Linked DNA regions of Mytilus edulis. The protein of the gene in region 4 binds, or shares a complex with, the protein of the main gene of each other region. Links are inferred from orthologs where the notes say so. Each region holds a gene or a part of one and is shown on either strand. Other genes may lie near its edges. The genes, in order: condensin complex subunit 1-like, condensin-2 complex subunit H2-like, condensin complex subunit 2-like and structural maintenance of chromosomes protein 4-like.

Region 1 (7,919 bases), on a different chromosome or scaffold from region 4:
GTGAAAAAATCTAGACCTTGAATAATAATACACTTTCAAATAAAATGCAATAATGAATTGTAATAAAAATATTTTTGAACTGAAATTGAAAGCTTTTAATGAAAACAATGACTTTCCCTAATTTTTTAACATTATTAAAAACGATGTTATAATGAATAGAATACAAACCATATAACACTGAACAGAGTATCAAACTTATGTAAAAGACATTTGCTGCCCTGGCTTCGAAAAGCAGTCTTCAATTCTGTAAAGACAAAAAACATCTTTTTATTTAGAGCACTTTGATCTTGTAAGTTATAGTAGAAGTTTAAGGAAAAATAAGAAAATTAAGATGATAACACAATATTGACTGTTGTACCCCTATTTTTGGCATTTTTACTCTTTGAGTATGTTTGTTTTGTTCATGCATCGTTGACAATGTAATGGAATTTGATGCGACTGTCATACAAGTGAGAGGTTAAGCTAGCTATAAAACCAGGTTCAATCCACCATTTTCTACATTAGAAAATGCCTGTACTAAGTCAGGAATATGACAGTTGTTATCCATTCGTTTGATGTGTTTGGACTTTTGATTTTGCCTTTTGATTTTTGATTTTCCTTTTTGAATTTTCCTCGGAGTTCAGTATTTTTGTGTTTTTACTTTTTATAAATAAAGATTGTAAAAATTTTGAATAGAGATTAAAATACTGCTGATTTCTACCTGTATTTTATTTATATCAGTATAAAATAAGAAACATGGTATGATTGTCCAATAAGGCAACAATCCTCAAGAGTTCAAATCATTGATGTGGCTTATTTGATTGAAAGCAATATTGAAAACACAATTAACAGAAAAGAATGAATTGGGCTTTTTTATTACATATATTGTTTAATCTTATATTTGTTCTGCTTTTCTCAACTTTTTCTTATTATCAAAATGTACAATAACTACAGATAAATAAATAAAAGATGTGGAAAGATGGATAACAGCTGCATCAACATGTTTCAATTTTCATCAACAAAATATTTTTCAATTTACCTTGTAGAGCACCTGGTATCTCTCTCAGTGTGGCAATCTCACTGACAACAAAGTGATCTATACCTGTTCTGTTTAACAAGTCATCACGAGAAGAGGGAATTACAAATTCAAAACTCATCTTTAAAACTGAAAATAAAGAATAAGAGATTATTAAACAGTATTCATTTCTTCAATCATTTATCAATAGAAATAGACTTCATAACAACATTTCAGATTTGTCTAGTGATTGCACTTATTTACAATTTTAATTCTCATTGTGCTCATTTCGCAAATGTAGTTTTTGGACCGTTCTTTTTTAACCAAGTAGAAAAATGGGCTTACAAACATTAAAACATCACAGCATGAGTATGGGGTTAAGTCATTATCAGAATAGTAATGAGGCTGGTCAGAGATGATATTTTTGTCCATACAGTGCCAGCCAATCAAGTTGTCATTTTCATTCCCGATAATTAATTAACCACTTCATTTTTTGTTAATTCTGCAGAAAATACTTGCTTCAGTTTCTAGACTAGTTCATTAGTTGATTTCTTTTTCAATAGTACATTCCCTTTTTATTTTCAGATCTCTAAACTAACTTATTCATTTACTTTAAATTTCTAATCTGAATATACAATGTAAGAGACAGAAACAACTTGTTTTCAGGTCGATCTGGCCCCAAGTCGATCCAGCCCCAATAAAAAATTATATCTATAAGGAATAAAAGGAAGATATTTATTGTAATTCATAAATGTTTATGAATTTTATAATAATGTTAAAGCTGTACGGGTATAATTACAATAAAAAACATAAAAGAATTTATTACAATCAACATTAATTGTATTGTTTCCAATTGACTGTGATCCTAGCAAGTGTCATCCTGTGTAATAAGGAAGTTACATTAACAACAACACAAGCCGATCCCTAAGCTGATACACACTTAATTTTTGTTTGAGTTCTAAAAACTTCTAAAATTGATAAATGTTGTTTGATTTGCCGAATCCTTTCTATAAAAGAGGAGACAGAAATATAACATGTATTTAATTTTGTGTAAGGGCCTCAATGAAAATTAAGCAGTCTATTGAGTTACAGACACAATGACACTGATTTTTGTATCGATTCAAAATAATGTCGTCAATTATGGATACTTGTAGATTTTTAAAATTCCATTTATACTGATTTCAATTTGACACCAAATCCTCCAAAGGCAGTATAGATTAGTATTCATTATTATATTATGAGGCCGGATCGACGTGGGAAGGATCAACTTGGAGCTGGATTAGTTTGTAGACAGAACGACAGAATACCGAACAACTTTATCTTCTTCTGATTGTATAACCCCCACTTTTCCTGACTTTAGGCTAGCCCAACCTTGTATGGTGTTGTCAAATTATACACCTTATCGCTAAAACAGGATAGTCAACCAAATGACGGTGGTCACTTAGTGGTAGTAGAAGTAATTCCAGCTGACCCGGCCGCTTTAACTATTGACGTAAAAATGTATACAACAATCACTTTTTCGTTGTAGCGTCAGATATTTTGTTTTATGATGTCAGACAAATACTCATAATTTCAAATAGCGATAAGATGTATTGTGAACAGAACAGGGAGTTTCTTCAGTCAGTACTGCGGGAACTGGTACAGCAACAAGGGATCTGAATGAATACATGACACAAGGGTTTGAAGGATCGTACTGCCTCTTACGAAAGATATGATATCTAGAAAGTTTCAACATTTAGTAAACTTTCAATAACTCAACCTTGCAATGTTCAAGGAAACCCCCCTTTTTATGTTTCAACAAAATTATGAGTTCACGCCTTCTTGCATTTCCTTTATAACTGTTCTCATCTATAAATCAATGATAAGTATAATAGCATAACTTGTAATGTAGACTCTTACTTCTTTTAACTTTCTAAGCGTCAATACTATACTGATCATTCCACAATGTTTACAAACTTTGAAAATTTCAACTTTCCGCCTTTCGCAGCGTGAGATATCGACCAATCAAATTGAAGCTTTATATTTACATCTTTTAGAAAAAAGAAAAATAAAGACCAAAGGAAAATAGAATTATAATTTCGATTAGGTTTATCAAATTTCTTCCAAATTTTGAACCTATAAATGATTTGATGAAAACGTAAAATTTAAATAGACCAATCAATTTGAAAATCTATTTAAAGTTCCGACGACCGGAAGCAATCATTAATCTCCAAACCGAAAGTGGCCGGCATGAGAAAATCTTTTAACCCCGAGATGGACAAAAATGAATAATTTTAAGCCCTTTTATCTTATCCTTTTATTGTTATCGTCTGTGATATTGTTATATTTAAGTTTTAAAAGTATTGTTTTACTCACAGTTTTAGCAGTTGCTGTCATATGGGGCTCGAATGTCGTAAACGGCTCCTGGAAAAGTACAAATACTCAAAAATTAACAGCATTTAAATTGAAAAAGACGAAACCATTCTCACATGAAAAGAAAACTAAAATAAAATTAAGCAACAAGAAGAACAGTTACGATTCATCATTCAAACAGTTTTTTAATGCAAACTGTGAAGCAGAAATGCCATCCACAGTCAAACTGACACCAGGCCCAAATCGACAAAAAACATCAATTAACAGAAGTCAGACTTTTTCATCTCCGTCTCCATATCTCCGGACGTCATTGTTTAACAGTTCATGCTCTTTTCAAGATCGCTCGGATGGCAACTTGTCCATTTCATCAACAAATGGTCATTCAAGATCTCCAGCACCATTTTTACCATCGATCAAAAGAGCACTCGGGGTATCAGAATACTCACCAAGGTAATTGATAGTATGAGACAGGTGCTGCCATAAAAGAGAATTTTTCTAGTATTATCAAACAGTTGCCAATAAAGGCACTTCGAGATCAAACAAACCATTTTAACGGTGCGGCCGAACTGCAATGTCATATTACAATTACATATTTCAATTACCCCATGTCTGTATGATATGGGCCATGGGATAACACTGCCTCGGTTAACTGGATATTTTTTCCCAACTTTATTAGATATGATAATGATAAAAAACACTTACGTTCCGTCATTGTGGTATTAGTCACATTTTGATATAAAAAGAAAAAATTCCCAATTTTTATTTTTTTACATTTACAACAGACATGACCATGATGACAGATTATATATTTCTAGACATATTTATCTATCTTCTAATTTCAATTATTAACTTGTGTGATGATGTTCTGTAACTGCAAAAGGCTTGTCTATCTTTAACCAATTTATAGAAGTTAATACATGTACAATCAAATGACTATATGCATATATGTCTAGTCCAGGGATGGGCATGATACTGACAAAAGTAATCGATTACTTGAAGGATTTTTGTGTATTCGATTAATAATCAATTGCAATTACATTACTTTTCGATTACTGTCAATTACATGCTACAAAATAACAATAAAATAAGTAAGTTAAACATAACTATGTAGTTCAACGTATGTATAGTGGAAATTTAGAACTTTATGAAAACAGCATTTAAAGCATTGTTTTTAAATTTTAAGTTAACAGTTGTTTTCTTGATGGAAGCTCTTACTGAGGATGAGAAATATTTAAAAATTCTTGATTTTTGGTTTTCAACATGAGTGAGTAGTGATAAATTTCTTGCACTGACATGGCCTGGTTTCGGTCACTTCTTTAAATTTTTTTTTTTTTCTCCATGTTTTGCAAATTTTTGCTGTCATACTGACGTAAGTTAGGTATTTTGTATTTACTCATTTTTAACACGTATATTTGAATATAGTTCATTTCAATGTTGGAAGTTTCCTCTGAAAAAAATATATAAAAAAGGAGAATAATTAACTAGTTCAGCTAATTTTAAAGATGTAATTTTATAATATTTATAATTAATACATGCATGAAATAATCGGGTTTTTGGATAGCCTTCCTAAATACAGATTATAAAACTGCCAATGGGATACATTTTATAACTGGGGCAATATAATGTAAATCTCCTCTTAATTAGACATAACTGAAATCAAAACAAAGTTGGCATCTCATTGATTAGAAATCCTTGATCATCTGATTGGTAAAGACAATAAGTTAGTTGAAATTTTATTATGCTATATTCAAAATTATAAACAATATATATTTTTTAGTGTCAAAATGGGATACAGGTATCCTGCACAAAATTTCAATGCATAGTTATCGGTTCATTGTCAAAAGGATTTTGTGAACTTTCTAATTTTTTAAATCATAATATTATGACGAATCAACTGTTTATCTATTCTAGCTAAAATTCCACCTCTTATTTAAAACTAAGCTTCAATGTCAATGCAGTACAGAACTTAACCCTTTCAACGCTACACAAAAAAATAGAAAAATGGCTGCTGCTGCTGCATTTTTTTTGTGTTCATTCATTAGAACAGTATATTCCTTTTCAGACTGCTGTATCTTTTTTATTATAAGAGATACAGAAAAAGTTATTGCATGAAAAATGCTCAGGAGAGTATGAACTGTAATGTTAGGCAGTTATTTAAGTAAAATTTTTATCAGGTTACCTGCATTTTCAGGTAATTAACAGGTAAAAGGTGTAATTTGTTACATTTGTGTTGAATTTTGAATAAAAACTACTTTTCGTCTTCATCTATTTTGTTTTTTTATCTGCCATATAATAAAGAAGACACCAATTGCTCGATTCCGTAGCGTATTGCACCATACACAACGTATTATGTAATCATGGCACAAATCAGTGGCTCCGTCCTCAAAATTTTCAGTCAACCTCCGTTTTCCCCCCTTTTTCTATGTCTCGTAATGATCGATCAAATCATATTTCCCACACGAATTGAATGTAATAAACACATTGAGATAACAAGAAACTTTTAACTAATCCTCGTCATCAGTTTCGCCATAGAAATGCTGAAATATTTCCATATTTACAGCTTCGTTTCCGATTTCCGCCATTTGCATTTGTCAAAATATTTGTTTTTATTTTCCTCCAATTTTCCTTCTACTGCATGATTTTACAATAAAAATTGCCGGGATTTCAAGCGCAAATGAGACCTTGCATATCTTCAATTCATACAAGGAAAAATAAGAGAGGACCCGAATGAAAACCGAATGGTTTCGAGTCCTTATGAAAAATCCGTTGTCATCGCGGCATATGCCGCGAATAGCAGTGGCGGACGGCGTATGTCATCGCGGCATATGCCGTGTATAGCGTTGAAAGGGTTAACACAAGACTCATTTCTTATTTTTATCTATTTTCTTATTTCAAAATAAAAGGTCTTTAAATTATTGGCAAGCATTGAAGACAGTATAGTCAATTGTTTCATAGCTGATTATATACAGTAAAATTTGGTAGGAGATCTGGTTGATCAAAATGTAGCTATAGACAAAAGATACAAATTAGGCATTTGATAAACTCTGAAGTTTTTTTTAATAATTTCTATTTTATCTGTACTATAAAGTGATGAAGACATACTTATTTTCATTTAAAAAAGGATATATTTCATTAAACTATTTTACTAAAGTAATCAATGATTACATCATAATAATTGCTGTAATCGATTAAATTAAGATTATATGTAATCGAAATGTCTTCGATTACAGATTACTGTCGATTACTGAAAAAAATGTAATCAATTACAATCGATTAGGATTACAGATTACAATTACCCCATCCTGGGTCCAGTCCACCTTCTGTATTTACATCTCAAAAGTGTGGGCAGACAAAGACCCAATAATGTCTGATTAAAAAGAAATCTAGTAAAATGATGCTCTAAATAAATTCTTTATAGGTTTAAGTCTTTCTGTAAATTGGCAATTTTACATTGAAACTACAAAAAAGTTGAAAATAATGTCATATACATGTACAATGTATGCAAAATGCCAAGTAAAAGATTAGACTGACGAAATCTTAATCAATGTCAACCCACATGACTGGCATGTGACTTATTTTCAAGAACTGTTGGGTTGCCATGAAAAATGTTTTTGAAAATATTGTTTATATGATCAGATTTTAAATTTTTTCCCTAGTTTGTGCATTCTTGTAATCTTCAACATATTGAAGTTAAAGAGTATTACATGTATGTAGATGTATATGTAGAGAGTGCTGAATGTTACGTTAAACACAAACAATTAATCAGTAATATTTTTCAGGAAAAGACAAGTGGTCATCCATCTTATGGGTTTAGAAAATAAATTTCTTTATAACCATGCTTACTGTATACTACTGTAAATTCAGAATTTATTGCGTGTATTTATTATAGTGATTTTGTCATTTTAGACTAGAACACAATTTTAATTTTTGCGATTTAATCATATAAATTTTTATTAAATGTGAGTTTAAATTATTGGGATTGTAACCCAGTCGCTTTTTGTTTTGCATTATTAAAAACATCTCAATAATTTCAGCATTTACAGTAATTAGTTTTAAATGTTTATTTTCAGACAGGAAAATTCAGTTGTTCCTCCATCTTACCAAAACTATCCTTCACAAGCATCACCAGGATTTGTTCCGGCAGTTAGACTTATAAAGCGAGAAAGGTCATATTTAGGTCACCAGAAATCACCATCAGTAAGGAGTTCCAATGTAGTAAGGATTGCTCCACCAGAGCCACATAAATTGTCAAGTCCAAGGTAGGATATTATAAGAATGAAATTAGGTCATGTAGGTAGTGTGTAATAATCAGGTTGGCCTTCATTTTTTTTTTAGTTTCATATATCCTTAGAATAAACAAGAGATTATAAACAAACGCTTATAACACTATTTTTAATTAAAGAATTGAAAGTAAAGTTTAAATTAGTCAAAACTTAAATGTTGATTCACATTAAAGGGACAAACACACACATATACCATGTATACATGTATCACAAAATAGTAGCCGATTGGAGCTGTTATACATGTATGATATCCTTGCAACATATAACACCCACCAGTGATTTCTATGTTT
Region 2 (7,888 bases), on a different chromosome or scaffold from region 4:
GCCCAAATTTGGTGAATAAAATATCTTATTCTTTACTATAGGTTAATTTTCAAATTATCAAGTAAGATAATAACTAAATAGTCATGTACATGTACATTTACAATATCTCACTTTTCAAAAGTTTAAACAATACTTATCTCATCCAGTTTATAAGAATATAGTAATTTAAAATTCAACTGAAGTTAAATATATCTGATTATTAAGTATGGTACAAACACAGTACATTGTATCTACTGTGGAGTCATCAACAGAGAAGTCCTTATAACAACTACAGACAGATACAGATAAACATGTAACATCAAGAACAGAATTATCTTAATGAAACCTTCCTGGTATGTAGTCAGAATATCATCTGCAAAAAAACAATCCTTTTTTTTTAATCTTTGTTAACAAACAACCAAGAGCAAACTCCCAACAAAATAATCACCATAACACCTACTTGGTAAAGATGTAATGTCCACAACAGGGCAAATTTCATGACAACTTGAAGTGTACCTGTTAGGGACGACATCAAAAGATCGATGTAGGATAAAAAACTTAAATCAAATAGTTTGGGGGTGGGGGGTCAACATTTCTGCTAGTTTTGTTAATCCAAAATTGATTTTACATATATCCATAAAGGTAAATCAATTTTTCCCAAATTAAGTTAAGAGGGGGGGGGGGGGGGGGTGTCAGTGAAAAAACTATGTGAATTAAGTTTTTTATCCTACATTGAACTTTTGACGTCGTCCCTTATGTTTACAGATATAAGATCAACAACAGAATAATCTTCATTACACACTTTTATTGTACACATGAAGACAGACATAATGTGTACATCAAGGGATATCCAAAGTACACCTACCTGGTATATAGACAAATATAACATCAAGGGATATCCAAAGTACACCTACCTGGTATATAGACAAATATAACATCAAGGGATATCCTAAGTACACCTACCTGGTATATAGACAAATATAACATCAAGGGATATCCTAAGTACACCTATCTGGTATATAGACAAATATAACATCAAGGGATATCCTAAGTACACTTACCTGGTATATAGACAAATTCGGGCGAGCCTGATATTTTTTGTGATAAAGTCAGTATCAAAAACAAAAAGTCCTTTATTCTGTTTATCGGTAATTTAAAAAAAAATTAAAAATCACTACAATAATAGAGAAAATAACAAACAAACTTCTTTTTCGCGTCGGATCACGGCGAATCACACTTGACGTCACAGGCTGCATTACGTCATTTGAAATTTTGTCACAGTGCAGTAAACATTAAACATGGCGTTCTCTTGCACAAAGTATAAAGATTTGAAGGAATTATTGCATGTGTTTCATTAATATTTTGCTTTGGACATGACTCTAACGATGGCAAATATAATGGTAGCATACCGGTAAGTCAAATTTCTGTATTTTTCACAAAGCATCAACAAAGAGGGGGATAGGAGGGTTCCTGATCCCGAAATCCCGGCCCGTTTAAAAACACGAAATCACGAGGTCCCGAATATAAAGTAAATTAAAGTAAATCCCGACATCCCGAAATCACGAGCTTAAAAACACCTGATCCCGGAGTCCCGATAAAGGTCCTATCCATGCATCCATGACCCCCCTCGAGCATAGTAAGTCAGAACATTAGAATGATACGATATGAATCAGCAGATTAATTGTTCATCGATCATCATTTTTAAGTTCAACGACAAGTTATTATAATTATATTTTACTTAGTTTAGTGGATAAAATTACATTTATCTTGTCATTATTCGCTCAGTGTTCATCATGAAAACGATCACATTGATTTCAAATAATTTTAAGGAAGCACTGAGGAGTAGTCCAAATAATTATGACATCTTGAAAGTTTATTATATTTTTTCGTCATGATTATTTGGACTATGTGAGGAGACATTTTAGGAGCTGAGTGACTGTTAAAGTTATTTGTAAATTATCTGAACAAGCTCATTTCTTGCCTTCTTCATAATTATTTCAAACATTTTAATAGACGTCACTAAACTTTTAGCTTAATATAATTCTTGCTTTTGTCAAAGTCTTGTTCATCTATTTTCAACACGGACCAGAAAAATGAAATTTGAGTTTACAGTCACTGTGGTTACCTTTAATTTCTTATGTGAATTTAGGGGAAGGCGACCCGTGTCAGTCACCTCTTAGCTTATAAAGGCTACAATTCAGGTCAAAGCAGACCTTTATACATGTATAGTTTGGTGACCCCGGTTACCCCCCTTTTTAAAATTTATCCTACATGTAGATCCGCAAATGAATAAGTTCACTTTTTTGTTCTTTGTTCTATGAATATCTGTCTTTAAATTGACCATTATTTTCTAGCTTCTCTCATGCGATAGCGGTACCTTTTTGGTCACTATTTATGTGTTGCGTTTAAATATGAATTGCAACACTTTATAGTGACTGAACAGGTAAAACAAATACTTCTCAAAAAACAGAAAAAGAAAACTACTTGGAACAGCACCCGGCTATGTATTGGTATTGTATGCATAAAAACTCGGATTGGAACATCATGGACGATATAATAATGTTAGTCATGTACTTAATATATCAATTATAGATAACACATTTTTTTTAAAAGTCTATCGGCTTTTTCATGCATATTTTGTTTACATTTTGACATCAATTGTTCAAAAAGGCTAAACTAACTTTGTGAAAGTTTCAAACAATGTAAAGTATTTCATCGCCAAAAATCTCGTGCGTTTCTGCGAAAAAAATCATGCGCAATTTTGTGAATGAAAGGGGAAAGTAGATCCTTACGCGTTGTATTCGCGCATGTCAATTGCGTACTAACCCAATAATTTTTATATCACGGCCAGTCCACTGATACTGACATTATCAGTGAGTACACATCAAAGGAAAATATACAAATTACCGATAAAACATCAAGGGATATCCTAAGTAAACCTACCTGGTATATAGACAAATATAACATCCACAAAAGAGTAAAGGCAAAAACATCTCTAGCTGCCTGGAAAAGAAGTGCTGCAAAGGAGATCAGTATACCCAGTATACAAAGGAGATCAAGGCCAGTCTCGGTATCTAATCCAATCATTGGCATTAATCTCAGCAAAGTTGGATGTCCATCTAGCAAATCAGCAAATGACTTTGCAGCTAAAAATATAAGATTGTTAATAATGGTCAGATTTGATAGAGGAACTAAATGAACTGGCAATCACATAAGTAGTGTTGGTAGAGTGTTAATAATTCACAATGTCTTGACTCAGGTTTAGATGTATGATATGACTTTTTTCTATTGGGGACAAATGCATGTTTTGTTTGTTGGTGTTTGGTTTTGTTTTTTTTTTTTTTTTGGGGGGGGGGGGGGGGGAGGGGGTGCTGTCTCAATGACATACAGTGACATATATACAACTTTCAATTCATTCTTTACCCTTTAATTAGAGAATTTAATTTAAGAATCGCAGTAGTGCATGAACAGTTAACAAACTGAGACAGGCCTGGTATCATATGAATAGAATTGTACTTCAATCATGGAAGAAGAATCCTGTTGTACTTTTACAATAGTTTGGTAATAAATAGTACATGTATGCTACAACCTTAGTCTAATTTAAAAATCTTAAAAATAGAACTTAATTACCTTTCCCAACCGCTAATCTAGCTGGCAATATTCCATTGTCACCATATAAACCTTGAATGAAAGAAATTTGGTTAAAAAGGTTTTAATATTTCTGGAATCAAAATCAAAATTTATAACATTTATTTCAATTATTTCAGAGTAAAGCAAAAAGTAACTACAACTTTAGGTAAACACCTAGAAAAGAGTATAATTTCTTTCCAATATTAGAAAAGTAAATGGTACTCAGACTCAACTAAGTAACATACATGGCATATAAACAAAAATATTTGATATATAGACTTTCAATTGATCAGAAGTCAGAAAAGTTGTAAATATTATTTGAGCAGGGGGATGTTTGGATTCAATAGTTTATGACAGATGTAGGGAGTAATGAAGTCAATCATTTATTGTATGTGTCACCATTCAGTATTTATAAGATATTACAGAGTAGGTATTCATTAGGATGGTGAACATTGCTCAAGGTCATTGTTCTGTAAGTATAAAATGCTTTAGATTTCGGTTTAGAAACTGATTAAAATTTACCTAGTTATTCATAATATAAATCTTGCTTTCCAACTATATTTAACACAGTTATACTGTTTCAATAAGTTTTTTTTATATTTATAACTCTTTCAGTTTCATTTCTATAAATGTCTTTAAAATGATGTGCTTGAATTGGTCAACAGAATCTGAACATAGAACTCAAGATGGACTTTTATAAATCAAATTGAAATAAATAGATTTAAAAGATAAGTAATGGGTTATTTATGTATAGCTATTGGAAATCACTTTATGGTTATAAATGTTAAAATCTGAATAAGAGTAAACAAACGGATAGTTACCAGGAATTTGTACATATAGTGATGAAAATGCAAGCAAATATATTGCTGCCATGCCCCATAAAAAGGCATTTTTCGTTACTTTGTAAGATGACATCTTAATGTATAATATTAATAACCAAATCACAACAACAGCCGCTGCAACGGACCTAACAACACTTTCGGACACAGTTGCACTGAAAAATAGTTCCCTGTTCAATAGATGTCAACTACTTCATCAATCGTTTATCTGATCATAATTACAATAATTCACACTACAAAAGATTCAATTAATTTCTTGGTTTAGCTATGATTCTATAAATTTTAATGCTAAAACAAATTGTCATAATTGTACTTTCATTTTGTAATTGGCGGATTAAAATATTCTACTTTCGTTTTTGATGTTAAACAATATTTGATTGGATAAAATATTGCAAGGTGCCCCGTTATATCCAATCAAATTGTTCCTTCAATATTTACCATTTTATGTATTAGCGGAAGCGGGATATCCAAAATCAAAATATAAATATAAAAACTACCAGGTAAATAGTAAAAAAAGTAGGTGTTTATGAAAGCTTTCATCAGTTGTTCATTACGAGCAAGAAGGCTCAAGTTATTCACACCAAAACCCGTCCTCTCTAGTTCATGGAAGGAAGAGAAGCCACAGTTTGAAAGTCAAATTAAATCTAATTTACTGAGTATTACTATATCACATATATGAAATAAAAAAGAAGATGTGGTATGATTGCAAATGAGACAACTCTCCACAAGATACCAAATGACACAGAAATTTACAACTAAATGTCGCCGCACAGCCTTCAACAATGAACAAAGCCCATACCACAGTCAGCTAAGCTATAATTTATAAAAGGCAAATAACAAATGAGGAGGGTTCCTGATCCCAAAATCCTGGGCTTTAAAATATGAAAACCTGAGGTCCCGAATTTAAAGAAATTTAAATCTTGACATCCCGAAATTCAAAAAAAGAATTCCTAGATCCCGAAAGGATCAATCCAGAAATCCCAAACTTAAAAACACCCGATCCCAACGTCCACGTCCTGAAAAAGGTCTTGCCCCACTCACAAATGTAATACAATTCATACGAGAAAACAAACAGCTTTATTTATGTACAAAAAACAACAACTACTGAATAACAGGCTCCTGACTTGGGACAGGCACTTACATACAGAATGTGGCGAGGTTAAACCAGTCAGGGGACTTAAATGTACTTAAATGAGTGATTTTCTAATCACTGATTCAAGTAACATTATGGCCATTAAGGTTGGAAGTAAGAGTTGTCTTCTTTTATAATCACCTATTTAAGTAGTACAAATTAATCACTAGTCTAAATTTGGGTCTTCGTCGATACCATACTTATTCCTGACGTTCCGTATTAGAGGACGTATTTGGCATTTCCTCTGCACTTCTTGTATTATTATTACTTCTTCACGATGACAACAATAATAGTAGAGAGTATCATTAATTGATAAAACAAAACAACAATTCGCTGAAGGCATGTTTACAAAATGTCAAAACAAGCCAAAGACCAAAAAGTGACAAGGACAGTTAGTCGCCTTTTATGGAGACAAAAACTATATTCATAAAAAGACTTTGGGGTTTTTCAACGAAAAAGTAGCAAGCTGAACTAAGTTAAAAGATAATAATTAGAGACAAATCTCGTCTGTACTAGCCAAATTTTACAAATTTAAGGTTGTAAAAAATCATATCATGAATGATGGTTAATTACTTTTTTGGGTAATCAGTTACACCCCATGGTTCTATTATTTCCATAGGAAAACGGGCCTAGGAAAACACCGAGACGTCCCAAAAATATATAGGTGCTCCTATCATTGGAGGAACATTACACAGTTGTGTACACACACATGGCGGCACGGAACACGATCGGAAATCCATTTGACGATATCTAAACATATCTAAACGAAGTGAAAAATATTGTGCGCCACATGGGGGCTTACATAAGTCACTCTATGCGCCATTTCTGGTCGATAGGCGCAGGGCGCACGACCTTCCCGATCACTGATTATATATGGCCAAATAAAAATATATGTGTGGTTCCAGTTACCCTACCTACCCAACTAAATGAATGAATGGGTTATTATAGTGGAATTATAGTTATCCCGTACCATTGTAAACTCGTACCAACGTCAACTCGTACCACTGAAAAAAACCTTGTACCAATGCAAACTCGTACCACTGCTAACTCGTACCAACTTATTCAAATGCATTTAAATGGTGTTTAATGATGAATATAATTTTTTATATACATGATATACGTTACTTTCACTCAATACCTCTTAAGTCTGTTAAATGTATATAATTTGAAAGTACAATGACCAATTTGTAGCTAATGTTCCTTGTCTATTGGATAGAAAATACCGTGGCAGATGTAGATTATTAAAGTATTATCAGTTTTACCCCAAGAAAATATTAATTTTTCATGAATAAATCTTAGCAGTTAATCAAAATGATTTCCAAAATTAAATTCTTACTGTCTATAAATAACAATGAAATGTAACATAGCATTCAATTTGTGATCATGGTTTACAGCTTTAATTAATTTAATTTGGATATATATATTCAACTTAGGGTACAGTTAAAGCAATGTTTTAACTTTCTTCTGGATTAAGTTCTAGTTTGAAAGATCAGTTTAAGCAATAAAGCTTAAAAAACATTCTCTATTTTTGTCTGAGTTTTCATTTTTAACCGGATTTTTGTGACAAAAATGTCGGTTATTGATTTGGGGATGTACGGCGGGCGGGCGGGCGGTCGGGCAGTCGGGCGGGCGGGCGGCAATCAAATGTTGTCCGTGCATTAACTCATGAACCGTTCAACCAAAGCTTTTAAAATTTTAATATGTTGTTACTGACAACTAAATGAAGGTCAAGTTCAATAATGGCGATTTTGACTTTTACCGTTCAGGAGTTATGGTTCTTGAAAGATTGAAAAATGGAGTTGTCCGTGCATTTACGCATGAACTGTTCTACCAAAGCTTCCCAAATTTTAATATGTTGTTACTAATGAAAGAATGGAGGTCAAGTTCAATAATGACGAATTTGACTTTTACCGTTCAGGAGTTATGGTTCTTGAAAGATTGAAAAATGGAGTTTCCAGTCGTGTCCGTGCATTTATGCATGAACTGTTCTACCAAAGCTTCCGAAATTTTAATATGCTGTTACTGATGACAAAATGGAGGTCAAGTTCAATAATGACGATTTTGACTTTTACCGTTCAGGAGTTATGGTTCTTGAAAGATTGAAAAATGGTTTTTCCCGTCGTGTCCGTGCATTTTCTCATGAACCATTCAACCAAAGCTTTTGAAATTTTAATATGTTGTTACTGATGACAAAATAGAGGTCAAGTTCAATAATGACGATTTTGACTTTTACCGTTCAGGAGTTATGGTTCTTGAAAGATCGTAAAATGGCGTTTCCATTCAGGTTGTTGCATTTACTCATGAACCA
Region 3 (7,000 bases), on a different chromosome or scaffold from region 4:
GGACTCCCAACAGTTTGTTTCAATTCTAATGCTCTGGAGCGACGTCGATCACGCTTCTCAGTACCAGCATCATATTCTTCCATATACATAGTCACAGGACTATCCATTCCTTTATGTCTGCTAGTTGATGGAGACACAAAACTACCAACTGTATTACTAATACCAGACCGTTTCTGTATGGCTGGCGTTGTCAAAGGAGAGAGGACATCTGACCTGCTGGGCATCTATAGAAAGCAAAAATTGTTCAATTGTTAATCAGTGTAAATTAAAGAAGTCACACTAACCAGTCTTTGGTTCTCTAGTTTTTCTTTAATGCTATGTTGACAATTTTATGATCTGAAGTGATATGCTTTTTTAATAAGAAATTGATTTTGATCATAGAAGCAGCTTGTAGTAATTTATTTTAGTGGAAAATAAATATACAAGGTTTTTTTCCAGTGAAAAGAGTTACATTCTGTCATTGATGACCAATGTACATGTATGCAGCTTGGGGAACTCAGCTAAATATTGTTTATTTAACCATTAGTGTCCATCACCAATTGTAAAATTGTGCATTCAAAGATAAAGAAGACATTAATACACTATTAAGTTTATTTGATTGTTTATTGTCACATGTACATAGGAATAAGCTTTCTAATTGCTGAATGGGGATATTTTTTATTTGTTAGTCTACACACAGGAATTCCCCAGTTAAAATATGAAATTGTAATTAGTGACAATGGAAAAGTCAGGCCAAACCTCAGATGTGTAGAATTCATGCAACCAAGTTCAGGAACTAATTGACAAATGCATTTATTTACAAATTTTGAAAAGTTCAAATACAGTGATCGGGAAGGTCGTGCGCCCTGCGCCTATAGCGCATATCGACCAGAAATGGCGCATAGAGTGACTTATATAAGCGCCCACGTGGCGCACGATATTTTTCACTTCGTTTCGATACGTTTTGATATCGTCAAATGGATTTCCGATCGTGTACCGTGCCGCCATGTGTGTGTACACAACTGTGTAATGTTCCTCCAATGATAGGAGCACCTATATATTTTTGGGACGTCTCGGGTGTTTTCCTATGGAAATAATAGAACCATGGGTGTAACTGATTACCCAAAAAACGTAATTAACCATCATTCATGATATGATTTTTTACAACCTTAAATTTGTAAAATTTGGCTAGTACAGACGAGATTTGTCTCTAATTATTATCTTTTAATTTAGTTCAGCTTGCTACTTTTTCGTTGAAAAACCCCAAAGCCTTTTTATGAATATAGTTTTTGTCTCCATAAAAGGCGACTAACTGTCCTTGTCACTTTTTGGTCTTTGGCTTGTTTTGACATTTTGTAAACATGCCTTCAGCGAATTGTTGTTTTGTTTTATCAATTAATGATACTCTCTACTGTTATTGTTGTCATCGTGATGAAGTAATAATAATACAAGAAGTGCAGAGGAAATGCCAAATACGTCCTCTAATACGGAACGTCGGGAATAAGTATGGTATCGACGAAGACCCAAATTTAATGTAAAAAAACTCATGCACATGAACAAGACAACAGTAGCAGTAGAAACATTGTAAATAAAGGATATCTTAAATATTATCTGGTTTGGAAGAAATTATTTTACATTCTTTGTTGAATTGAAATAACAAAATCACAGGCACAATATCTATAATATTATTTAAAATCATTAAGGTAAGTACCACCATCTCTTTGCTGAGATATACACTTTTTACTTTTTTCACTGTAGTCAATTCAAATGGCCCATTCATTTGACAACATGGCCCATTATTTTTTAAAATGGCCCCTTGAATTTAATTTTGAGGGGCCCTGGGCCCAAAGAGAAATAATCCTTCCAGATCACTGCAAATAACATTAAATATAAATTTACAATTTTTAAAATGCATCCCTGTTTATTTTCTAGCATGTGTAATATGTACATATACATGTACTGTACAACTGAAAAACTTTCTTCAAAATGTTTAATTTTCCTCTCCCAGTTGTGGATTTGAAGTTGTAACACAGATGTCCATTAATTTAATACATTGAGAATGATTTGCTGTGAGTATTACATTTGTTAAGAGAGTATAAAGGATTTTCTCCTATTGCATCATGGCAATTTCATTCTTTCCTGTTATTGTGACAGGTATTTGCAGTGCCAGGCCCAAATTCTCTTGTTACATGCATGAAAACAACAGGATGAATTAAAGAAATCAATATGAATACATTTGTATATACATTTTTTGTACATGTAGATTATCAATTATAGATTGTATAGTGTTGACTGTATGCATAATACAAAAACAACTGGCATATCTAAAGCTTACAGTATTTCACAATTATTTAAAACATTAAATATAATACAAAATTGAAAAACACTTTTTTACTCCTGTATCAGTTTATGTATGCTTTACATGTACTTACTGAACAACCCAACAATTTGAAAATAATAATGTGTTGTCATTCCTCATATTTAGTATTAAGTAACCATTGTTCAACATATAACTTGCGAATAATCAACAAAATTCTGTTTTGCATCAGTACATGTGCAGACAATAATAAACTGAAGAACTATCAAAAGGGAGACAACTTCAAAAGATTTGAAACATTTTAAATATTGACTATCATAATTTGTGTTTAGCGGTTTCTGTTCTTTTATATTTCTTAATTGTCATGCTATTATTCGTTCCTAAAAATATCTTTAATGTATAAACTACATATTTGTTATTAGAAATCACTATAAACATGATAAATCGGTTTATTTTGATATTCATAAAAAATTATGAAGACTGAAGTGAACCCGTTCTCATTTGATTTAAACAATCTTAAAGGGTACACAGTTTGATAATTTCATAGACTCACTGGGAATGTTTTGTAATTTTGTATATGTGTTTTGTCATTTACACTATAAAGTCACCTTTTGTGTTGTTTAGAACTTATCTATTGTTTTGAAGTTTCCGCCATCCGTATGGTCTCGTTTGTGGACGAGAAATTGCGAGAAATAGGGACACACTAAGACATTATTTGCATTTCCGTGTATGCCTCTGTAAGATGGAAACACGTAATAATAGTTTTCATCGTCTAAACGTTTCAAATTCAGCAAACAAACCAAAAGAAAGTAGCAAAATAACAACATATGTATCTTATAAGTATCCATTAAAATGTTACTAGAAAAAGCACACCTCCTTATTCCTGAGACAAAGAGTAAAGGTTAGTATAAATAACATCCACAATTGTATATATTACAAAATACGCATTATGTACAGTATTCACGAATTCAAGATTACATATTGATTTTAAAAGAAAAAAGTGACTATATAATTTATTTATCGTTAATTCTTACTTTGAATGAAGCATTTGTGTAGTGTACTATAGCAATTTGCACTTAACTTTATGAGAGCCACAAGTAAGATTAGAACACAATATAATAAAATTGAGAATGGAAATGGGGAATGTGTCAAAGAGACAACAACCCGACCATAGAGCAGACAACAGCAGAAGGTCACCAACAGGTCTTCAATGCAGCGAGAAATTGGTTTCACTCTCTTTAAATAAGGCATATTATTATCAATGCTGCTTAAATTTTCTTCAAAATGTAGGTGAAACCTAAATTAGATATGAAGATTGAATATAAAATAGAATAAGATGATATGCATGGTACGGATTCCAATGAGACAACTGTAATCCAAAAAGACAAGAGGACAAATATGTGAACAATGTCAGATCACCACAAAGGGTAATGTCACTAGCTCTCGTATCCGCCGCGTAATCTGATCCAGAAGTGATAAACTGGGTTTTCAATCGTTAACAAAGTTTAAAATCGAATTTCATTTTGGAAAAAGATGAGTTCTTTTATAACAAGATGTCACCATTTTCCCTGAATTTGTTTCCATCGCCGAGTCGCGGATGCAAAGGTGTTGAAAGCTAGAGAAATTTTGAAATGTAAATAATTGCTTGTAAGTGGCTTCGAACAGTAACATAAATAATGCGGCGGGGGTAACATGTTTGTGAAACTCACTCCTTCCTAACCTAGTGTAGTAGTGTGAAAATCGCAGTCACATTGGAACAAATCTTAAAACTACGTTAAAAAAGTCGACTCGATCATAAAAAAAACACACAAAAACATGTAACAAAAAGAATTAAAAAAAAACATTGATTCAATGATGTCATAGATAAAACACTCTTTGAATATAGTTTCAAATTGTTGTCAAATGATATACTATAAAAAGGAGTGGGGGTATATTAATGGCATTACAATCTAAACACTATAGATACAGTATGTCTGAACTGTATAAGTCAGTTAAGATAAAAATCTTATTTTTTTTTAATTTTTGGTTGTACAAAAGACAAGCTCTGAATCAAGTTATCGTCTTGCTTAAACTATGTCCTGTAATAAATGATTCCTGTATATTCAGAATAAGGACTGCTAGATAAGTGTCTAAGTTCAGAACGGGAGCAAACTAACATTAAACTGATATATGCAAATATGAAAATGAAATTATTCAGGATAAGGCAAAACATTTTGACCCAACGCTTGCACACATACGAGAGCTGTTTTAAGGGCCATTCTCAAATGAACAGCAAAAGAACAGTGTGCCAAGCTTATAAACTTCATCAACAAACCAAATTTCAGAAACAAGAAACAATTAGAATTCAAAAGTTTATTAAAGTCTCACCACATACGACATGATTAAAACAAGATACAATTATAAAATTAATTATACAGTAAACATAGTTAAAACAATTAAATACATGTATGTGCCATTCTTAAAAGAATTATGAGAGACTATTAAAATACAAATAATACTTATTCATTTTATAAAATACTACAAATACAGTAGTTAATGATATAAAATACTGTTTCTCCTTGTTAAAATGTTATTGCAGGTTTTGGCAACAATATTACAAATATTGGTATTTTTAAACATATATATAAATTTTTCTTCATCAGACAAGTTTAAAAACATATCATTATGACACAATTTATCAATAAAAAGAGCATGTCTTAGATCTTCATACAAGGGACAATTTAAAAGTACATGTTTTTCATCCTCTAAAATATTACAGTTAAAACAGACACTTTCGTCTAGATTTTTTCTTTCATATCGACCAGTTTCAATTTTTAATGGTGCTACATCACATCTAAACTTTGAAAAAGCACTACAATGGCGCTGTGGCATTTAAACAAGATGGCAGGCATAATTCAAACCACTATTTAACAACGAATACAGTACACGCATTTTAAAAGAATTAAAAAAGTGCACACAACAATAGTTCAATGTAATTATTCAAATATTCAAATATACATATTTTTTTATTTGAAGAAGCAAACACTTAGTCCAGAAGACAAATTTCAAGTCAACAAAAAAACCCACCTAAGGACATGTATAACATTATACAATATAACACTGAACAATATAAATTATCACTGGTATACTATTTGAGTCTGGTGGAGGACCGTAAGGGTTCTGTACAGGAAATTCGTTTCAGTACATAATTGAAAATAGCACAACAGAGGTGTGGGTAACACAACAGCCTGGTTTGTGTACAAACGGCATGACAATAAACGGACAGCAAATGTGATACAAAGGGTCATAACAGCACTGCATTCAAGCACAAACTCCTGACTTGGGACATTCATATACTGAATGCTGCGGGATTAAGCCATCATTCCGACGTGGGGGTCATCTCCACCAAAACAGTGATTCATATAAGAGCACATTGATTTAATTAGAGAATTTCTATAAATTAGTCACTTGAAAGACTGTCCCTGATATAACATAAGAACAAATTATCCGTGACTGAAATCATATAAATGATCGCCGATACAGAGCACACCACAACTTATAATGTGAACGCAATAAGGGACGACATCAAAAGTTCAATGAAGGATAAAAAACTTAATTCAAATAGTTTTTTCACTGACCCCCCTATAAACTTAATTTGGGAAAAATTGATTGACCCATATGGATATATGTAAAAATCAAAGTCGGATAACCAAATCTTGCAGCAGTTCAACCCCCAAACTATTTGAATTAAGTTTTTTTTTTTTTTTTTTTTTTTTTTTTTTTTTATCTTACATTGATCTTTTGATGTCGTCCCTAAAGATAAGATTATCGATCTAATAATATTCGAAGCTACCGAAAGTTATTTTAATGCCAATAACAACTAAAAAATAATCATGTAGTCAATTTAAATTTCACTCATTATTAATTTAGTCTATTTGAATTACTCAAAATATCAATATTCACAATTTAATTTTTAAAATGATAATTTTTAATAATGTAAATCATAAACTATGTCGTTTAGTGCTATATCTTTGTCATTTTAATCTGAGACTACTATAACTATATGTGTTATAGTAGTCTCAGTTTTAATTTATTGTGTTTGTAAAATTCATGCCTTTTATCTTGAATATGTGTGCACACAAAAAAATATTCATCCGTATACGTTCCTTTGATTAAAAGTGTAAAGACGTCATAAACATTTTATGAAAGCGTGACCTTCTACAATAAGGTACCAAAACAATTGTCCATTTTGCTTGTGTGATCTTTTTTTTCTAATAACATGTTAAAACGCAATCAGATCTACTTCTGTGGAATGAATTTCCATTTATTTATTTATATTCCGCGATATGGGTCCGACTTCGAGTTTAGCAGTACATAATTTATTTTTACCTGCGTTTCGAAACCGTTCATTTCATTGGTTGATATATTTAGCAGCGCCATCTTTAAAAACAACAAGCTAACAAGAGTAAGCAGGATAAAATTGAAGATTGGAAAATCAGTGATTGTACACCAGTTAAATTTGATTTAACACCAAATTTTAAGGATTTATTAATTTTTTAATCCTCCTGATAGAAATTCCATTTTTTCATTTACATTTATTTTTGACAGTCAGACTTGTTTCAATTTCAAAGAAAAATAAATTTTTATCTGGCAAAAGCAGAGTATTCCGTAGTCCAAATAATTATGACGTCTTGAAAGGCTATTATAATTTTTTTCTTTGACGCC
Region 4 (7,888 bases):
TTTATTCTCCACTAATTCAAGGCAAACAATATCACTGGTTCAGGGTATGGTAATTTACGAAAAAAGTAATCTCACTTCGTACCCCGAAAATTTAACCACATATGTGAAAATGTCACAGCTTCGAAACGAGCTATCATACATATCCAAGTTTACGATATGGACTGAGCTACAGGAAAAAACGTTATCATTACTGCCTATGTAAAAACAATTAAAGATATTCGTGATCTCCAGATGTCAATAATAAATTATGTATATGAACATGTAGATGTAGAGGAAAATTTCATCTTCTCACTGACTGTTGGACTTTCCTTAAAAAAATATGAGAAATAAGCAATAAGAAAACAAACTTGCTGACTAGGATTTCCGTGTAAACAAGCTTAGGATCTAAATCAAGGTAATCAGTCAGTCAGCAAGAAAAAGCAGCTGGCTCACTAAGAATTCATAAGTGATTTGCCAGATGGAGATACCCAAGTTACCATGGTTAATAATATATCAATGTGCTAAAAATTACTCATCATTTGACAGCAATAGGTAGACTCGTACATACTAAACAGGGCCTTGTCAAATAATTAAGGAGGCTTTGAATTAGGTTATTTCAGTGTTCTCCCCAGGATTTTTTAAGGCACAAAATTAAAGGGCGTGTAACCCCTTTTATAGTGAACTTTTTGTGATCTGAATCAATCAGTCATAAATCATAACATGCAATATTGCTTTGTGTTGTGTGTTTAATAATGCAGAGTATTATTGAATTTATACAAGAATATACTATATGAAATAAATTGATTTTAAACACAAAAGTTATTTATATTCAGTCAATTAAAGAAGTCAAAATATAAATATTCATCTCTGTACTCTCTGCTACTTCTAGGGATATTGTTTCAAGATAGTGTTATTTTGTTGGACAGTCTGTTCCTCAATGTTGTCTTAATCCTCTTCAGGGTTGAAAACCCCCTCTCATAATAACTTTTGCTTATACCCCCTGAACATTTCTAAGCCATGAAAACTCAGTCAGTCACTTGTCACTGAAACCAGAAACATGGTGCTTGCTGTTATCACTTGCTAAAACTTAGCTCAGTTGGGATTAGGAGAAGCATTTATAACATCTGCTTATACTGACAGCTGAGTGTAGAGGGAGGTGTATTCCCCTTTTCATAAGAAGTCATTGATCTGAAAAAAACTTCTACTTCCATCATGTCTTTTGCTTTGATTTCACCCTTTGTTGTTTGCAGAGAACATGTTCATTCAGAATTAATAAAATCGAATATGGTTAAGATACCGTAATTGGTATACAACTTTAAAAAAAAAATATATTTTAATGAACAGCTGACAAGTTTCGTGGTTTCCGTAGTTTGACATTTATTTACGCTTCCGTGTGCATTATTGTTATAATAAAACCTATCTTTGGCAGGTAGATATAAACCAAACTTCGTTAAAGTTAAAACCATTGGAATTATTTACTAGTGACATTATACAGAAGCCGCGGCGATTCCGTACCCGTGTTGATTGTTATTTCTTTAATTTCTGCACTGAAGTTTTTAATTTTCTTCTGAAAATATCTATCTTCTTGATGATCATTTACACTATTAGTCTATTACATGATAACATAGTCCGATAAGGCTGAGATAAGCCTGGCTCAGGTAAAACTATATTATCAGATATTGCGTAACACTGACCGTAATACAGTGTATTGAGAGTGCAAATAAGAACTTGGAAAATTTAAATTGGTTAAAAATGGGTTTTCAGGATTGGGCTTCCCTTCAGTGTTTTACACAGTTCAGAGGCCTAAAACTTTCAAAAAAAGTGTAAACCCTCAGACATACAACTTATCATAAATGATTGTAATTATCTTTGAAATATGCATACAAATGACTACATTTTGTACTTCCAGTTGCAGGTCAAATAGAAGTAAAAAATCAGTAAGTTCTTGGATTTTTTTTGTGCAATGACTTTCTTTAGACTGCTGTACCCAGATTAGTTTTACTCTAATCCAAAAAATGTTGTTTTTTATGGGTTCACTTGGGTCCACTCTACATGCGACTACAGCTGGAAACATATATATCACCATCCCTCTATACTATTTCAACACCTGATGACAAACTTGGAGCTTCTTTGTATCATGAATGCCAGTTTTGATCTTGGAGTATAATGTTCTTCGTGCAAGAGCCTAAGTAGTGATATCCATTAATTGATCTTTATATTAGCAAACATTTTTTTTTGGTGCTTACCAGAAACATATCTATAGGGGTTTCATTGGGGTCTAACCGTGATGCGGGACAGATTTGTTTTAAGTGAAGTCCTGTAGGACACGGGAAATTACATGCACCATTATGGCAACGTGAAGCAGGATACAGGATTCTCACTAAAAAATTAGCGGGATCTGGGTTGAGACCCCTCCCTCCCCAAATACATGTACACCTTATTGCTCTTTGTCGGACTTGACACAGGTTACTGAGGTACCTAAAAAAAAATTGACGTCATGAAATAATCTGACACCACAATGGACAAGTGATTGTTGTATGACATCTATTGTCCACGCAGGACAGATTCTTGGATCAGCTGGGAATAGCATTAAGGTGTATAATACTCCATCTATACTGTTCTATATCTCAGCCTTGGGCGAACGAACCTGGATTCTGCATGGACGAAAATGGTCTTTAATTTTAAGAATCCCTGCTGTTTTATTTTTATACCAAAAGAAGCAAGATGGTTATGATATGCTTTATAATGTATGACAGCAGCTGGTGAAAAGACATGAACTAGAACTTCTATAAATTTTTGATGACATTTGATGATTTGTGATGATTTGAAAAATAATCTGGTTTTGAAGGTTGATGTGTTTTCTCCTTTTGTGTTTTAAGACGTGAACTACCTGTTTCAAGATTAAGCGTTCTTTGAGGAGATGTTTCCGCGTTGGAGGTCGCAACTTCCATTTCTTCTGACATTTTTAAAATTTTGTTGTTGTTGTAAATCTGAAAATGGCGCCCAAAACAAATTTTGTAAGGCAGACAGGCATGGGTTGCACTAATGACAGGATGATTGCCCGGATAGTGACAGGACGGTTGACCGGACGACATATAAATAGTCATAACTTTTTTGTTATCCGATAGATTTGTTTAATATTTGTAAACCTGAAAGATATTAAACTATATTTTATGAATATAAAAAAAAAGAGGAAAAATAATTATTTTTGAGCAAAAAAAGTTGACCGGACGGTATTCACACTCGCCAATATACGCTAAATATATATTCAACTGGTTGACGACAAGTGTTAATATCTCTTTTGTTTTACAATATTTGTCCATGAAACTCAGGAATCTGTGAGATTTATAAATATATTATACGAAAATATAAACTTGATTGCAAAAAAACGTGTTTTTCTCAAAAAAAAGTTGACCGGACGGTATTCACCCTCGCCGATATACGCTATATATATATTGAAATGGTCGACGACAAGTGTTAATATCTCTTTTGTTTTACAATATTTGTCCATGAAACTCAGGAACCTGTGAGATTGAATAATATATTACACGAAAATATAAACTTTAGGGTAAAAAAGAAAACAAATCTGCAAAAAAAGTTGACCGGACGGTATTCACCCTCGCCGATGTACGCGTTGATTATATTGAACTGAGCGACAAAAAATGTAAATATTTTTTTTGTAAACAATATTTTTTCATAAAACTGAGATATGTGCGAGATAAATAAATATATGATATGAAAATATAAACTCTATGATAAAAAAAATATTTTTCTTCAAAAAAAAGTTGACCGGACAGCTAACATTCGCCGATATATGTTAATAATAATAAATTGATTGACATAAGTGTTAATATTATTTTTTTTACCATATCTGTCCCTGAAATTTATGAACATTGGAAATGAATAAATATATTATACGAAAAATTAAACTATATATTTAAATAATAAAAAAAAAATTAAAAAAATTGACCGGACGGATTTTACATTCAATCGATATATGCCTTAATATATTGAACTGATCGACACAAGACTAAAATATCTCTTCTTTGGTTATAATATTGTTAATAGCATATTATTAAATATCTACTATTTCTGTTTGATGTAATACATCTGTATGCATATAGACAATAGACCCACTGTCCATTTTGATATTTTGTCTACTGGTAAGTTGTACTAATATGATGGCTATACAACTGTCTTTAAAAAGACATGCCTTTAAATAAAGCAATATATAGTAGCACTAATATCAATCTGTTTACTTTTGTATTTATAAATATATGTTTGACAACTGTCTTTAAAAAGACATGCTTTTGAATAAAGCAATATAGATAGTAACACAACTATCAATCTATCTATATCAATAGTTCAATAATGAATATATATTGAAAATTGTCTTTAAAAAGACATGCAAAAAGCAAAATATAGTAGAAATATAATTTGTGTGATCTGAACTGGTTGAAAGTCAGAGCATAAATGACTGAACAATTGAATAGTTATTATTAGGTGAGTTAAATGTTAATCTGAAATCCTGAACTTCATAAAATTTCTTCTTTAATTGGATACTAATTACCAACTGATTATAAGGTAATTCAATTAAATGTATTTGATGTCTCAGGTGTGAAAACTTTAATGACATGTTATTTGGCTTGATTGGTGATTACAACAAGTGTCAAAATTAGATTAATTTGATTAAATATCATTACTTCTAATATGCATTGGTGAACTCGCTCACATAAACATTTTGGGCTCATTGTTTTTACTTTAAAGTTTATTTTTCTTGTAAAATATTTATCTAATCTCACAAATTATTTCATTTCATGGACAGATATATTATAAAAATGAAGAGATATTAAAACTTGTGTTGATCAGTTCAATATATTTAAATAATAATATCGGCGAATGTTAATTCCCTCAGATCAACTTTTTTTTTTAAGAACAACATTTAACATATTTGATATAAGGTTTATATTTTCATATCAAGTACTTATTGATCTCTCAGATTTCATAAATTTGATAAAATAAAAGAGATATAAACACTTGGGTCTACCAACTTATATTAAGGCATATAACGGCGAATGTTTGTTCCGTCCGGTCATCTTTTTTTGAAGAAAAACATTTTTATTTACTATAAAGTTTATATTTTCATATCAAGTATTTATTGATCTCGTAGATTTGTTAGTTTCGTGTAAAAATATTGTAAAACAAATAAGATATTGACACTTATTTGTATCAGTTCAATATAATTAACGCGTACATCGGCGAATGTGAACACCGTCCGGTCAACTTTTTTTGGAGACAAACTTTTTTTTTCACTATAAAGTTTATATTGTCGTATCCAATATTTATTATTCTCACAGATTCCTGAATTTCATGATAAAATATTGTAAAACAAAAGAGATATCAACACTTGTCGTCGACCAGTTGAATATATATATAGCGTATATCGGCGAGGGTGAATACCGTCCGGTCAACTTTTTTTGCAGATTTGTTTTCTTTTTTACCCTAAAGTTTATATTTTCGTGTAATATATTATTCAATCTCACAGGTTCCCGAGTTTCATGGACAAATATTGTAAAACAAAAGAGATATTAACACTTGTCGTCGACCATTTCAATATATATATAGCGTATATCGGCGAGGGTGAATACCGTCCGGTCAACTTTTTTTTGAGAAAAACACGTTTTTTTGCAATCAAGTTTATATTTTCGTATAATATATTTATAAATCTCACAGATTCCTGAGTTTCATGGACAAATATTGTAAAACAAAAGAGATATTAACACTTGTCGTCAACCAGTTGAATATATATTTAGCGTATATTGGCAAGTGTGAATACCGTCCGGTCAACTTTTTTTGCTCAAAAATAATTATTTTTCCTCTTTTTTTTTTATATTCATAAAATATAGTTTAATATCTTTCAGGTTTACAAATATTAAACAAATCTATCGGATAACAAAAAAGTTATGACTATATATATGTCGTCCGGTCAACCGTCCTGTCACTATCCGGGCAATCGTCCTGTCATTAGTGGTTCCCGACAGGCATTGGTCAAAATGCTAGCTTCCGGTTTAATCTTGATTATCTTCCTTGTTAGAACACCGAGAGAGGAGAGAGACGAATATGAGATTTAGATATCCATTTAGAAATTGTACAGTAAAAGACAAGTTCATGGCAATTACACTGTTTGGTCTCATCTTGATAGGTAATTTACATATAACAGTCTTATATGATTTTCGTCCCAACTTTAATTTCAACCTTTTAAAAATATTCTTTTCAGATGCAAGATGTTTAGGACCATAGATGTAATATCCATCTTCATCTTGGTATTACATCTATGTGCGGACATACTGCAACTGGCACAACTTGAACTATTTTCGGACATACAAAATATATTATACAATGTATAACTTCTCCTTGACGGGAAGATAGATAGATATTATATTCTATTCTCTGTTTTCACAATTATGTACATTTTTTTGTAAATCAAGTCCAAAAGACAAAGGGAAACTTGACTATTGTTTAACCAAGGCCAAAGGTAGTCCGATCCACGGCCCTAGCTTGTCTGGTAAAACAGCTGTTGGACGTCAGAGTAATCTCAGACTAAGCCAAAGGTTATTAGAACAGTAGAAAGTCTTTTGAATCACACCAGATGCATACTGATGTACCCAGACCGGAGTTTAAACTAGAATGGGTACTTTGGGGGCCTTGGTTGGTCAAAGTTGTCCCCCTACTTTGACCTGGAGATCAATCTTCTGATATCTCTCTGGTTTGTCTGTTTCCACCGAGTGACCCGGTTGTTCTCTCCGAGTACTTCGGCTTCCTCCCCCATAATAATAGACTTCCTGGTGTCCTAGCACTCCCTTTGTGTTGTGTGGGGATTGATTGTCCTTGTAAAAATAATTGTCGTATAAATATACGTTAGTGACATATCTCCATTAATCCCGTTAGGGAGTGTACATGGATGCCACTGTACCCTCGCAGCTTTCGAGGGGTTCTTCGGATATCGGAGGCATTTACCTGTACATACATACATACTGAGGTCCGTTAGTAAGGGTACAGTAGTAATGCCCTTAGCCGTTAGGTGTCAAACCATCATTTTCTGCTACTGTTAGCTTCAAATAGGTTAAAATTTTACAATGATTCCTCAAAATATCCTTGTCCAGATTTCTCATCAGTCTCAAATAATTATCGTTACTGTTAATTTTGGAAAAAATTTACCATTATTTGTCATGATGATGCCCCCATTTAGACCTACCATTATAATAACAAATCAATTTTCTATGCCCTATAATGGGCATTTATATGTTTTCTGGTCTGTGTCTCTGTCCCGCTTCAGGTTAAAGTTTTTGGTCATTGTAAAAGTAGTTTTTGATGAAGTTAAAGTCCAATAAACTTGAAACTTAGTTCACATGTTCCCTATGATATGATCTTTTTCTAGTTTTAATGTCAAATTAGAGTTTTTACCCTATTTTCCGGGTCCTCTGAACATTTTTTTTTTCGTATAATATAAATTTTATTTATAAAGTATTGTGATAAGACATGTACATGTAAAAACTGTATACGGTTATTATAACATGTATAACTTTTAAATGTATTTATATTTATTATTATTTTCAAAATGTTCATTTAATCTCAAGTGTTAAACAAGCTGAAAAATAAAATGAATACTAATGAAAATTATGAGACCCACAAAATGGAAGATTAATTTCTGTCATAGTTAAATCAATAAGTAATCAGAAAATTATGAATTCTGAAATTGAAAAAAATATAATATTATCATTTTTTAAATGAACACAAGTATTAATTATGCTTTTGTCAAGAAACTGTACATAATAAATACTACAATGTTTTAACCACATTGGAATAAATACTTTAAGTATGGATGATATGTCCTATAGACAATGTGGTG

The links.
Region 1: structural maintenance of chromosomes protein 4-like (region 4) and condensin complex subunit 1-like share a complex: the UniProt entries of both Homo sapiens proteins name them as parts of the condensin complex. The link is inferred for Mytilus edulis from reciprocal best matches to the Homo sapiens genes SMC4 and NCAPD2.
Region 2: the proteins of structural maintenance of chromosomes protein 4-like (region 4) and condensin-2 complex subunit H2-like are in contact, whole or in part, in a cryo-EM structure (PDB 9F5W), measured with the Homo sapiens proteins. The link is inferred for Mytilus edulis from reciprocal best matches to the Homo sapiens genes SMC4 and NCAPH2. Residues at the interface, in NP_001002800.1 of Homo sapiens: Ile100, Leu101, Gly102, Pro103, Ile112, Gly113, Pro114, Ser117, Gln1151, Met1152, Leu1155, Phe1227, Lys1228, Ser1231, Ile1232, Phe1235, Tyr1236, Glu1239, Gln1240, Asn1253, Asn1254, Phe1256, Glu1257, Arg1261, Gly1264, Ile1265, Tyr1266, Lys1267, Thr1268, Tyr1269; in NP_689512.2 of Homo sapiens: Arg494, Ile495, Trp498, Glu499, Thr501, Val502, Leu505, Leu506, Gln509, Glu510, His512, Phe547, Cys550, Arg551, Met553, Leu554, Leu557, Gln558, Ala560, Asn561, Tyr563, Val565, Glu566, Ile567, Gln569, Leu573, Glu574, Ala576, Val577, Asp578.
Region 3: structural maintenance of chromosomes protein 4-like (region 4) and condensin complex subunit 2-like share a complex: the UniProt entries of both Homo sapiens proteins name them as parts of the condensin complex. The link is inferred for Mytilus edulis from reciprocal best matches to the Homo sapiens genes SMC4 and NCAPH.

Annotation. Positions count from the first base shown.
Region 1 is NC_092356.1:7,065,730-7,073,648, reverse strand, and holds the start of condensin complex subunit 1-like, read right to left. Parts: upstream 3,005-7,919; 5' UTR 2,894-3,004; intron 1,145-2,893; 5' UTR 1,137-1,144; coding exon 1,019-1,136; intron 245-1,018; coding exon 169-244; intron 1-168. Other genes in the region: uncharacterized protein, read left to right, coding at 3,258-3,796, 7,417-7,605. UniProt on the Homo sapiens protein: Regulatory subunit of the condensin complex, a complex required for conversion of interphase chromatin into mitotic-like condense chromosomes.
Region 2 is NC_092350.1:23,512,423-23,520,310, forward strand, and holds the start of condensin-2 complex subunit H2-like, read left to right. Parts: upstream 1-4,869; 5' UTR 4,870-4,948; exon of another isoform or gene 4,949-4,964; intron 4,965-7,888. Other genes in the region: lipase maturation factor 2-like, read right to left, coding at 2,923-3,125, 3,610-3,660, 4,431-4,524. UniProt on the Homo sapiens protein: Regulatory subunit of the condensin-2 complex, a complex that seems to provide chromosomes with an additional level of organization and rigidity and in establishing mitotic chromosome architecture.
Region 3 is NC_092347.1:57,141,570-57,148,569, forward strand, and holds the start of condensin complex subunit 2-like, read right to left. Parts: upstream 3,016-7,000; 5' UTR 2,905-3,015; intron 2,575-2,904; exon of another isoform or gene 2,412-2,574; intron 225-2,411; coding exon 1-224. UniProt on the Homo sapiens protein: Regulatory subunit of the condensin complex, a complex required for conversion of interphase chromatin into mitotic-like condense chromosomes.
Region 4 is NC_092346.1:88,614,379-88,622,266, reverse strand, and holds the start of structural maintenance of chromosomes protein 4-like, read right to left. Parts: upstream 3,012-7,888; 5' UTR 2,943-3,011; coding exon 2,870-2,942; intron 1-2,869. Other genes in the region: UDP-glucuronic acid decarboxylase 1-like, read left to right, coding at 6,100-6,181. UniProt on the Homo sapiens protein: Central component of the condensin complex, a complex required for conversion of interphase chromatin into mitotic-like condense chromosomes.